Linked DNA regions of Oryctolagus cuniculus. The protein of the gene in region 2 binds, or shares a complex with, the protein of the main gene of each other region. Links are inferred from orthologs where the notes say so. Each region holds a gene or a part of one and is shown on either strand. Other genes may lie near its edges.

The links. Proteins that work in one complex are often made in the same cells at the same time.
Region 1: CYFIP1 (region 2) and ABI1 share a complex: the UniProt entries of both Homo sapiens proteins name them as parts of the WAVE2 complex. The link is inferred for Oryctolagus cuniculus from reciprocal best matches to the Homo sapiens genes CYFIP1 and ABI1.

What each region holds. Positions count from the first base shown.
Region 1 is NC_091444.1:103,361,876-103,366,589, forward strand, and holds part of ABI1 (abl interactor 1), read left to right. Parts: intron 1-2,753; coding exon 2,754-2,768; intron 2,769-3,487; coding exon 3,488-3,588; intron 3,589-4,670; coding exon 4,671-4,714. UniProt on the Homo sapiens protein: May act in negative regulation of cell growth and transformation by interacting with nonreceptor tyrosine kinases ABL1 and/or ABL2. May play a role in regulation of EGF-induced Erk pathway activation. Involved in cytoskeletal reorganization and EGFR signaling.
Region 2 is NC_091443.1:17,574,364-17,579,077, forward strand, and holds part of CYFIP1 (cytoplasmic FMR1-interacting protein 1), read right to left. Parts: intron 3,364-4,714; coding exon 3,267-3,363; intron 3,175-3,266; coding exon 3,046-3,174; intron 1,067-3,045; coding exon 962-1,066; intron 1-961. UniProt on the Homo sapiens protein: Component of the CYFIP1-EIF4E-FMR1 complex which binds to the mRNA cap and mediates translational repression. In the CYFIP1-EIF4E-FMR1 complex this subunit is an adapter between EIF4E and FMR1.

The sequences.
Region 1 (4,714 bases), on a different chromosome or scaffold from region 2:
TATGCCACAACATCAACCCCTGTATGCTTGTGTTTAGACTTCAAAAAGGCCATGTGGTCTGGGAACTATGACATTTTATTAGTGATATCAGGGATATCAATGTTTTAGTTTTTTTTAATGGACTGTGATTATAGGACTGTGAGGGGAAGTCCAAGGAAGCAAGACAAAGAAAATATTTGATTGATTAGAGATGAGCTGGCAGTTTGTGATTGCCGAAGTCCCTACTTAAAGATTTGTTGGTGCTTTCTGATGGTTAAGTTTAAGCTTCACTTTCATTAAACAGTGGCGTGAGCTAATGGAATTATTTCAAACAAGGAATTGGCCTTCCTGATATTAGTACCTGTGGTGTGCAAGACTGTGATGTACTTGATAGAAGATAGGGAGGAATCCAGGAAAATTCTGTGTTCTCAACGTAAGATTCCAGGCAAATGGTAAAATTATTCACCTATTTATGTAAATATTAAGGAAAGGCAATGATTAAAAAAAAAAAAAAAGATTTGTGGGGCTGACGCTGTGGTGTAGCTGGTAAAGCTGCTGCCTACAGCACTGGCATCCCAAACAGGTGCCAGTTTAAATCCTGGCTGCTCTACTTCCAATCCAGCTCTCTACTATGGCCTGGGAAAGCAGTAGAAAATGGCCCAAATGCTTGGGCCCCTGCACCCACGTGGGAGACTCAGAAAGAAGCTCCTGGCTCCTGGCCTTGGATTGGCACAGCTGCAGTTGTTGACTGCCATTTGGGGAGTGATCCAGTGGATGGAAGCCCTTTCTCTCTCTCTCTCCAAGCCTTTGCATCTATGTATCTCTGCCTTTCAAATAAATAAATAAATCTTTAAAAAAATGTGTTCATTTGTTTGAAGGAGTGAATTGCTGGTAATTCCCCACATGGCTACAACAGCTGGAGGTAGAACAGGCTGAATCCATGAGCTAGCAGCTCCACCCAGGTTTCCTACCTGGGTGAAAGGGCCTAAGCACTTGAGCCATCTTCCACTGCTTTTCCAGGTGCATGAACAGGGAGCTAGAACTGAAGCAGAGCACCCAGGACTTGAACTATTGCTATGATATGGCCAGCATCACAAGTGGTAGCTTAACCTGCTGCACTGCAGTGCCAGCTCCTGAAGTGGTATCTTCAGAAAATTAAAGACAGCCTTGTTTTTGGTATATTTGGGGAAAGGTTTTACACTATGTTGAGCTGTAAGAGATTATTTCCTGCCAAACTTCCCAAACACATCTGCATACATGAATGTACTTAATATAGGAGGTCCAGGTGCATAAGAGGTTGAAGGTTGTCTTTATGTCGTAATTTACTTTCTTAATGGGGATGTGAAATGTAGTGGTTAGGTAGTTTCAGATCAAAGTGAACAATATATCATTTTAAAATCTCACATTTCTGGCACTGTTTCTGTAAATGAGAATGTATCTAAAAGAAAGAATTTCTTCCTTTAAGGTCATGTGAAAAATAATAGATACTTACTGAAATGGCAGATATTGTAAGAAGAACTTGAAACCCAAAACGTGTATTAAAAGTATTTTTTTCTTGTTTTTCTCAGTGACATAGTACAAATGGTGATGCCTTAAGACTGTAAACATTATTTGATATAGGTAGGCTAGTCAACTTTCATGGAAGTAACTTAGGAAATCAAAGCAGCTTTTTCTCCCTTTTGAATTTTGCCTAAACTGCTTTATCAGAAATCTTAAAATTGAAGTGACTTCCTGCTAGTGTGTTACCTGCTCAGGATTTCAGTTCATACACTGGAAATGAGAAGGCTTTCTAGACTCTCTTTATCCTGTTAGAACCCAGCTAAGCTGTTGCTGTCCATGAATTTTTTTTTTTTTTTTTTTTTTTTTTTTTTTTTTTTGACAGGCAGAGTTAGACAGTGAGAGAGAGAGACAGAGAGAAAGGTCTTCCTTCCGTTGGTTTACCCCAAATGGCCACTTCGGCTGGTGCACTGCGCTGATCCGAAGCCAGGAGCCAGGTGTTTCTCCTGGTCTCCCATGTGGGTGCAGGGCCCAAGCACTTGGGCTATCCTCTACTGCCTTCCCGGGCCACAGCAGAGAGCTGGACTGGAAGAGGAGTGACCGGGACAGAATCCAGTGCCCCAACTGGGACTAGAACTCAGGGTGTTGGCGCTGCAGGCGGAGGATTAGCCAAGTGAGCCGTGGCGCCGGCCGGTAATTTCATTTTTAAGCACCAAGGTGCTATATCCTTTTCTGACTTTGGAAGCAACTGTGATTTTGAATTTTAGTATTTGTTCTGTCAAAGCAAGTCCTGTGGCTTTGACTTTTAAGATTTGCAGTTTTATCATCTTGTAGAATATTGTACAACTGCTCAAATAATAAATACTCATACTTGGGCATTCATTATACAATAAAATTACAGCTCTTGTGCAATGATGTATTAAAATAGCTTTACATCTAATATGTTAGGGTATTTGTGTTTCCATGATTTATTTATTTTTCTCTGTGATTCAAATGAGTTAGGATGAGATACTCACCTAAGAAATCATTGGGCCTGAATGAGACTGGAATAATAAAGTGGTTGTTACCTTATGAATGTTTATTTTGAAAAATACGTGAAACAAACGAATATGTCCCAGTGCTAATAGATATACTTTTCTATAAAAAATATTGGAAATATGGCTAGGAAAAAGCTTAATTAAGTGAATTGAATAACTGTAAATGTAAACATTTCCTATTAGATAAACTTTGTAGAATTAATTGTTACTTTTTCCCCCTCTTTTTTTGCCAACGTAAAGTGGCTAAAAGCCAAGGTAAGAGACATTACTTATCGTTTGATCCACAGTATTCCCTCTATATTGATAGAGGCTGCAGAGCCACTAAAATTTGAAAACTCTTCTTATGTCTGTCTGCTTTTCCCTGTAGGATTTATGTAGATTAAATATATTTAAGCTCAGTTTAAATCAGCAACATTTAGCTTGGCTGTGTTAATATATCAAAGATATATTGACATTTGCATTTATATAGGAACATTAATTTTGCTAACATTATTGCTTTGCTCATTTGTTGATAGTTGCCTTGCTTTCATTGACTTACATTTAGGAGGTTTCCCAGACATCGTATGTGACTTTGTTACTGAATTGTTAGAATAAAGTTAATTTTTTGGGTGAGCATTTTGGCAAATTGATGATGAGATCTGTTCATGCACCCATTTCAAATATTGTAGGAAATATTTGAATCTAGATAAGTATGAGCTCAGTGACCATGTTTCACAATAAATTAATATATAAAATCAGTAATCTTATCTGTAGTTTGCCATACATTGGTATAAAAGGCACACACACACAGAAAAAGAAAAACAGTGCAAGTGGTTCCTTGACTTTTAAAAATGTGGTACCAAAGTCTTCATTCAAACTGTCTGGGAATCCTTACTTTACATTCTGATATTAAAAAAAAAATAAAAAAACATGGTGTTAAAACACCAAGAGAACAATTTGATATAAAAATAAAAGCTCTTCTTTCCATATTTTAGCATGGAAATAACCAGCCTGCAAGAACTGGCACATTGTCGAGAACAAATCCTCCTACTCAGAAACCACCAAGTCCTCCCATGTCAGGCCGGGGCACGTTGGGGTAAGAGTTCAGCTACATTGTACAAAAGAACTCCTGTTAAAGGAAAGATGTCTCTGTGATTTAAGTAAATGTATGGATCCTTGCCATCGAATACTCTGTATGATACACCTGTTACAGATTCATTTTATTTCTTATTTCCCTGAACCAAATCCAAAGTGAATTTGCTTGCTTTATAATATTCTCTGTAGATGGCTATACTAAACATATATTTCCATGTGTATATAAATGATCATTATTTTTTGTTTACTAATTTTTTAAAAAATATAGGCCTGACAGTTTATTTCAGGGCAGTTCCATGTGGTAACTAGACTTCAGATGTATGTGCAGGATCTACATGTCAGAACTGTGGCTGGTCTGGGTGGTATAGTTTGCCATAGTGCTCTGGAGCTTTCTTGTCTCCTGTATTGCCTGGCACCTGAGGTTTAGGGACTGTCTGCCTGGAAAACGTCTAACTGTGCTGTTGCTGGTGGGCATAGGTCCCTTTATAATAGAGTAGCTCTGTGGGAAGGTAACAGCCGACGACTTCTTCCTTCCCATGTCTCAGTATAACTAAATACATTGAATATTTGCCAAGATATTTCTGAAAGATTGTCCATTTTAACAGAGGAAATGGTATGTTAAATTTGTTTCTGGTAGAGAGGTTGATAAAACACAACTTTTTTTTTGAAGATTTGGTTTCCATTTTCATTCTTTAAGCCCTCTGCCCCTAAAAAAATATGAGGTTACCAAACAAAAATAAAAATCATCTACTGACAATTAGTCACATTACATCTAGCATCAGAATGTACTTCTCCATGTAGTTCCCTACTGAGGTAGGAATAAATTGCAAAGGAGATATTTATCTTCCTATGTATAGGACAGGGCCTTTGGGTTACTGAGCTGGGAATAAATGTACATTTCAAAAGACTGAAATTTTAAATTTCCCTTTCCTATGGTTTTTGTGTTAAAGTAACAAAATTAGTATACCCCAGTTAAATAAATGTTATATTATGTTTGATCACAAAGGGACAATCACAGATTTGAGGGGAAAATACTGTTTTACTATTTTATTTATTTTTCCTTTCTTCATTATGCTTCTTTAGACGGAATACTCCGTATAAAACCCTGGAACCTGTTAAACCCCCAA
Region 2 (4,714 bases):
AAAAAACCAAAAACCAAGAATGCAAATTCCTACCTCACACCATACACTGAAGCCAGTTCCTGGATGACTGCTGTAGATCAAGACAAAAAAAGGAAGCAATGCTTCTAGAAACTAACACAGGGGACTGGCATTGTGGTGTAATGGGTTAAACCGTCACCTGCAATGCCAACATGCTATACAGGCACTGGTTTCAGTCCCGGCTGCCCCCCTTCCTATCCAGCACCTTGCTAACACAGCTGGGAGGGCAGTGGAAGGTGGTCCAAGTACTTGGACCCCTGCACCCATGGAGGAGACCCCGATGAAGGTACTACATCCTGGCTTTTGCCTGGCCCAGCCCCTGCCATTGCAGCCATTTGGGGGAGTAAACCAGTGGATGGGAAGATCTCTCCCTCCCTCCTCTCCCCCTCTCTCTCTCAACTCTGCCTTTCAAATAAATAAAATAAACCTTAAAAAAAAAAAAAAAAAAAAGGTAAGCCTCGAAGGTCCTTAGGCTACTGACACTGAAAAGACATGTGCCCTAGGACCCCTGTCACTTCTCCTTAGTCTGTATCCAATGGCAGCCACACCAAATCAGCTGCATTGTCTGCACCAGGAGGAACCAAGAAACAGAGTGGACAAGTAAGCTCGTTTGATGGTGAAGTAGAAGACCACGGCACACTGAACACGTAACAGCCACAGCCTCAGACTCCCACAACTGTTTCTGTCTCACCAACAAAAGTTGGGGGAAATGCAGGGAGAGGCAATAAGATGACAAACAGCCTGACTCCATTTGTACAAGTTCAATCCAGGTAAAAACAATGCAGGAAGAAGCCTTTGCAGACTGGAGGAGAAACCCCAAGATGCCCTCCCTGCCTTCTCAATATTCTGTGATCTGGATCATGGTCGCACAGGGATTCATTCTGCAAAAGTTTAAACTGTACAATATGTCAATAAAAACATTTATATTAAAAAAAAAACTTACCTTGAAGTACTTGTCAATTTTGGACAAGTTAATTCTTTTCTTGGCATCTAGTTTATAGATGTTACTGACACTTCCATCCATCAAGTACAGACCAAATCCCATGACCTGAAAAGCCACAAATGGTGCAAAAACACTCAGACCGAAAATATAATTACCCATACAATGTACATCACAATTCACTCTTGCTTTTCCTAAAAGCTCCTAGGAAATGAATAGCTCTCCCCTCACACGAAGCTGTCACTTTATGTGGACCCTTTCTGGTTATTTCAGCTTCCTCCCAAGGCACACATCCCAGAGCCAACCCTCTTCAAGCTCAGGGCAGTGCTAGACTTGGACAGTTTAAGCTGACATTTATGAGACAGCTCGCAACTACTGTCATCATTTGTGGTCTTTCAATAGTAATTTCACTCCCACTATGAGTGTGTTAATAAGCAGTGGCAGGTGCACAGGTTAGAACACTGGACAAGCACTGTGACTCAACATCACTCAGTGCTAACTCGGCTCACACTGAAGGTGGAACAGGGGTGTGGGGGGGAGGGGGAGGGGGGAGGGGGGGAGGGGGGAGGGAGGGAGGGAGGGAGGGAGAGAGAGAGAGAGACTGCACTGAATATTCTATATCCTCAGACAGTTCCCCAAAGCAGTCTCACAAAGATGTATTTTTAGGCTGCTTCTCTGGTGCTTCGAATGCATTGCCCCCCATGATTTCATGTTACAAACGTTTGTTGAGGTTCCAAGCCAGCTGCTAAAAGCTGAAAAAGCAAATCCTCTACTAGACTAACCTGTACAGCAGGATATTCTAGAACTATCGGGTCCAAAAGGTGGCTACATGTAAGTAAGTTTCAATGCATAGGTATGGAAAATGTTTAATGTGGCACCAGCCAATGCCCATCTCAGTTGCTCCTTAGGGGCTCATGACTAGGGCTCCTGCATCAGCTGGCACAGATACAACACCTCTGCCATCCCTGCGAACTCCAATGGGTGGCGCTGTTGCAGCCCTGACCACTTCCCGGGGCTTCCTGCACCAGGAAAAGGTGGGAGGCTGGATGGGTGGGACTCGCAGCAGCAGGTTTCCCAGGGTCATCCTGTGCAGAGGGACAGCTTGGAGCAGAGGGAACAGCAGAGCAGACTTCTCATTTTTCCAATGAGAAATGCAACTGAAAACCCCAATTTGAAACGTAACAAATGTAAATAGGGTGAACCAGGCAAAATCCACTGTAATTAAGGTACAACAATATACAGCTAGCTATCTAGGGCCACAGCGTCTACATCCAAGAATTCAACCAACCATGGCTTAAAAATATTAAAAAACAAATACATCTCTACTAAACAGCTACATGCCTTCTTTTCTTGTCATTTTTCCCTGAAGAACACAGTATAGTAACTATTCACACTGTAAAAAGTATATGGGAGGCTGGTGCTGTGGCACAGCGGTTGAAGCCACCACCTACAGAGCCAGCATTCCATGTGGACACTGATTCAAGTCCCAGCTGCTACACTTCTGCTCCAGCCTCCTGCTAATGTTGCCTGGGAAGGCAGCAGAGGATGACCCTGCATCCATGGGGGAGACCCTGATGAAGCTCCTGGCTTCAGCCTGGCTCAGCTCTGGCTTTTGTGGCCATTTGGGGACTGAACCAGCAGATTATCTTCCTCTCTCTTTGTAACTCTGCTGTTCACATAAATAAATAAATCTTTAAAATAAAATAAAGTATATGGGAGGATGTATATAGGTTCTGTGAAAATACTATGTCATTTTATATAAGGGACTTGTGGCCCATGAATTTTGTTATCAATGGTGGGAAGATGGGGGAACTTCGGGGTGGAGGCTCCTAGAATCAATCCCTCGAGGACACCAAGGCACAAGTAGAAGAACCTGTGACCCAGGACCGCCTGGCCCGTGACAACCCTTTCCTAAGGTCAGCGTGTAGTTCACTGGGACACGCTCATGGGACATGCCAAGAGCCTGCAGGGGGACCAGGATGCTGCCCGTGTCCACAACAGCATGAGAAAGGACTCTGGAGGAAGCGTAGTCTTTGTGGAAGCTGGTGCCTCGGCGCTGCTGGGGGCTGCCAGCCCCACACACGTACTTTGAGAAGCATGTGTTTCTCGCTGGGCGTCAAGTACATCCTGTTCTCGTAGTAATCCACGCACAGATTCACGATGTCTGCCAAGAGCTCTTCGTAGCCAGAAATGACTTCGAGCTGCTGCTGCAGAGACTGAAACACAGAGCGGGAGAGCCGTGCCATCAGCTGCTCCCAGCCCTGCCGGGGACAGCTCCCGCGCAGTGCGGTGGGAAGGCAGGCCTTACTTGCGTGATCTTGTTGTGGTTTGCCAGGAACATGGACAGATTCTGAGACTCCTGGATGGACTGTGGATCTGCCATTTTACGTAAAAACTGAGCAGCCCTTTGAAAATAAGAAAGAATTAATCCCAACGTGCACCGATGTACTGATTTTCCAAAATGCCTGGGAAAATGAGGATTCCTGTCCTCCCCGCCCCTTGCAGTTATCTGCAGAAATGTGGATCTTGCAAGCTGGTTATGAGTTCACCTCCTTAAGCAACTCCTGACCTGGACTCTAGGTCACTCTTTTGCCAACACAGATGCGATATATACAACTCTGGAGGACTTACCACCCTGCTGTCCACAGCTGAGGGACCTCCCCACCAGGCCCCTGCACTTTCTCCCTGTGGCTGCCCGAAGCCCAAAGGGCTGCTCTGCTCAGTGATGTCCCAAAGCCATGCAACGAGGCCACAGGGCACCCTGGGGTTCTTTGCTGGGAAAACTCTGGGCCACCATGCCTCCCGACAAGAACACCTGTCTCTGGCGTGTCACCCTAGGGACCAGTGAGGCCCCAAGTCACCAGTCGTGGCTCTGCTACCAATCTGCAGTAATCTACCCTGACACCCACCCAAGGACCCTACAGTGAGGTCCAAGAATACCGCAAGGCATACGCTGAGTCTGTGAGGTCCCCGCAGGATAGAGTGAGGGTTCTGCACACCCAGGGCTGTCTCCCAAGGAAGGGTACAGGAAACTGCCCCATAAAGATATGACCGCACAGCCTCGAGGCCTGGTGTATTAACTGAAGCAGAGTGCCCACGGCCAGGTCTGATAACCTACCCAACGCTCACTTCACCCCCTTCCTCCTTAGCAACAAGTCCCGAATTCCTGTAGAGCAGCAACACACCTCATCTCCCGTGCAGCATAAGCTGCGACCACATGACCAGCGGCAGGCCCAGGAGATACAATGCAAAACCCTGAAAAGCACTTTAAAATGTACTTATAAGGAAGAGCAGGGGCTGCCTTCACTCCTTCTTCCCTGGTGACTGGAGTGCAGAAGTAACAGCTGGAGCTCAAACACTCGTCTTGGACCACGAAGCGGGGCAGGATGACAGTAAAGCTGCAGGAGTCCTGGGTCCCGCCCCCCATGGCCCCATCGTGAGCTGCAGATGATCTAACTGGGGACTTTTCAGGGAAGGGAAACACAAACCGCACCTTCTCCAAACCACTGTCCTTCCCGTGAGCTCTTAAAAATTACATGTAGTTATACCTAATAGTAACTGATATAGTGACACTCGTTGCCTCTTTAAACACGTTCAGTTTACTGACTGAAGTCGCTGCTGGGGCAGGCAGTATGTCGAAGGAAGGGATCCACAATGCCATTTTCTCTTCCCTCACCATCATCAAATGGCTTACCTGGCATCCATGCCCAGAAGCCATGGTACTGGTAGCTCCCAGCTGGGTGCCAAAGGGAGAGA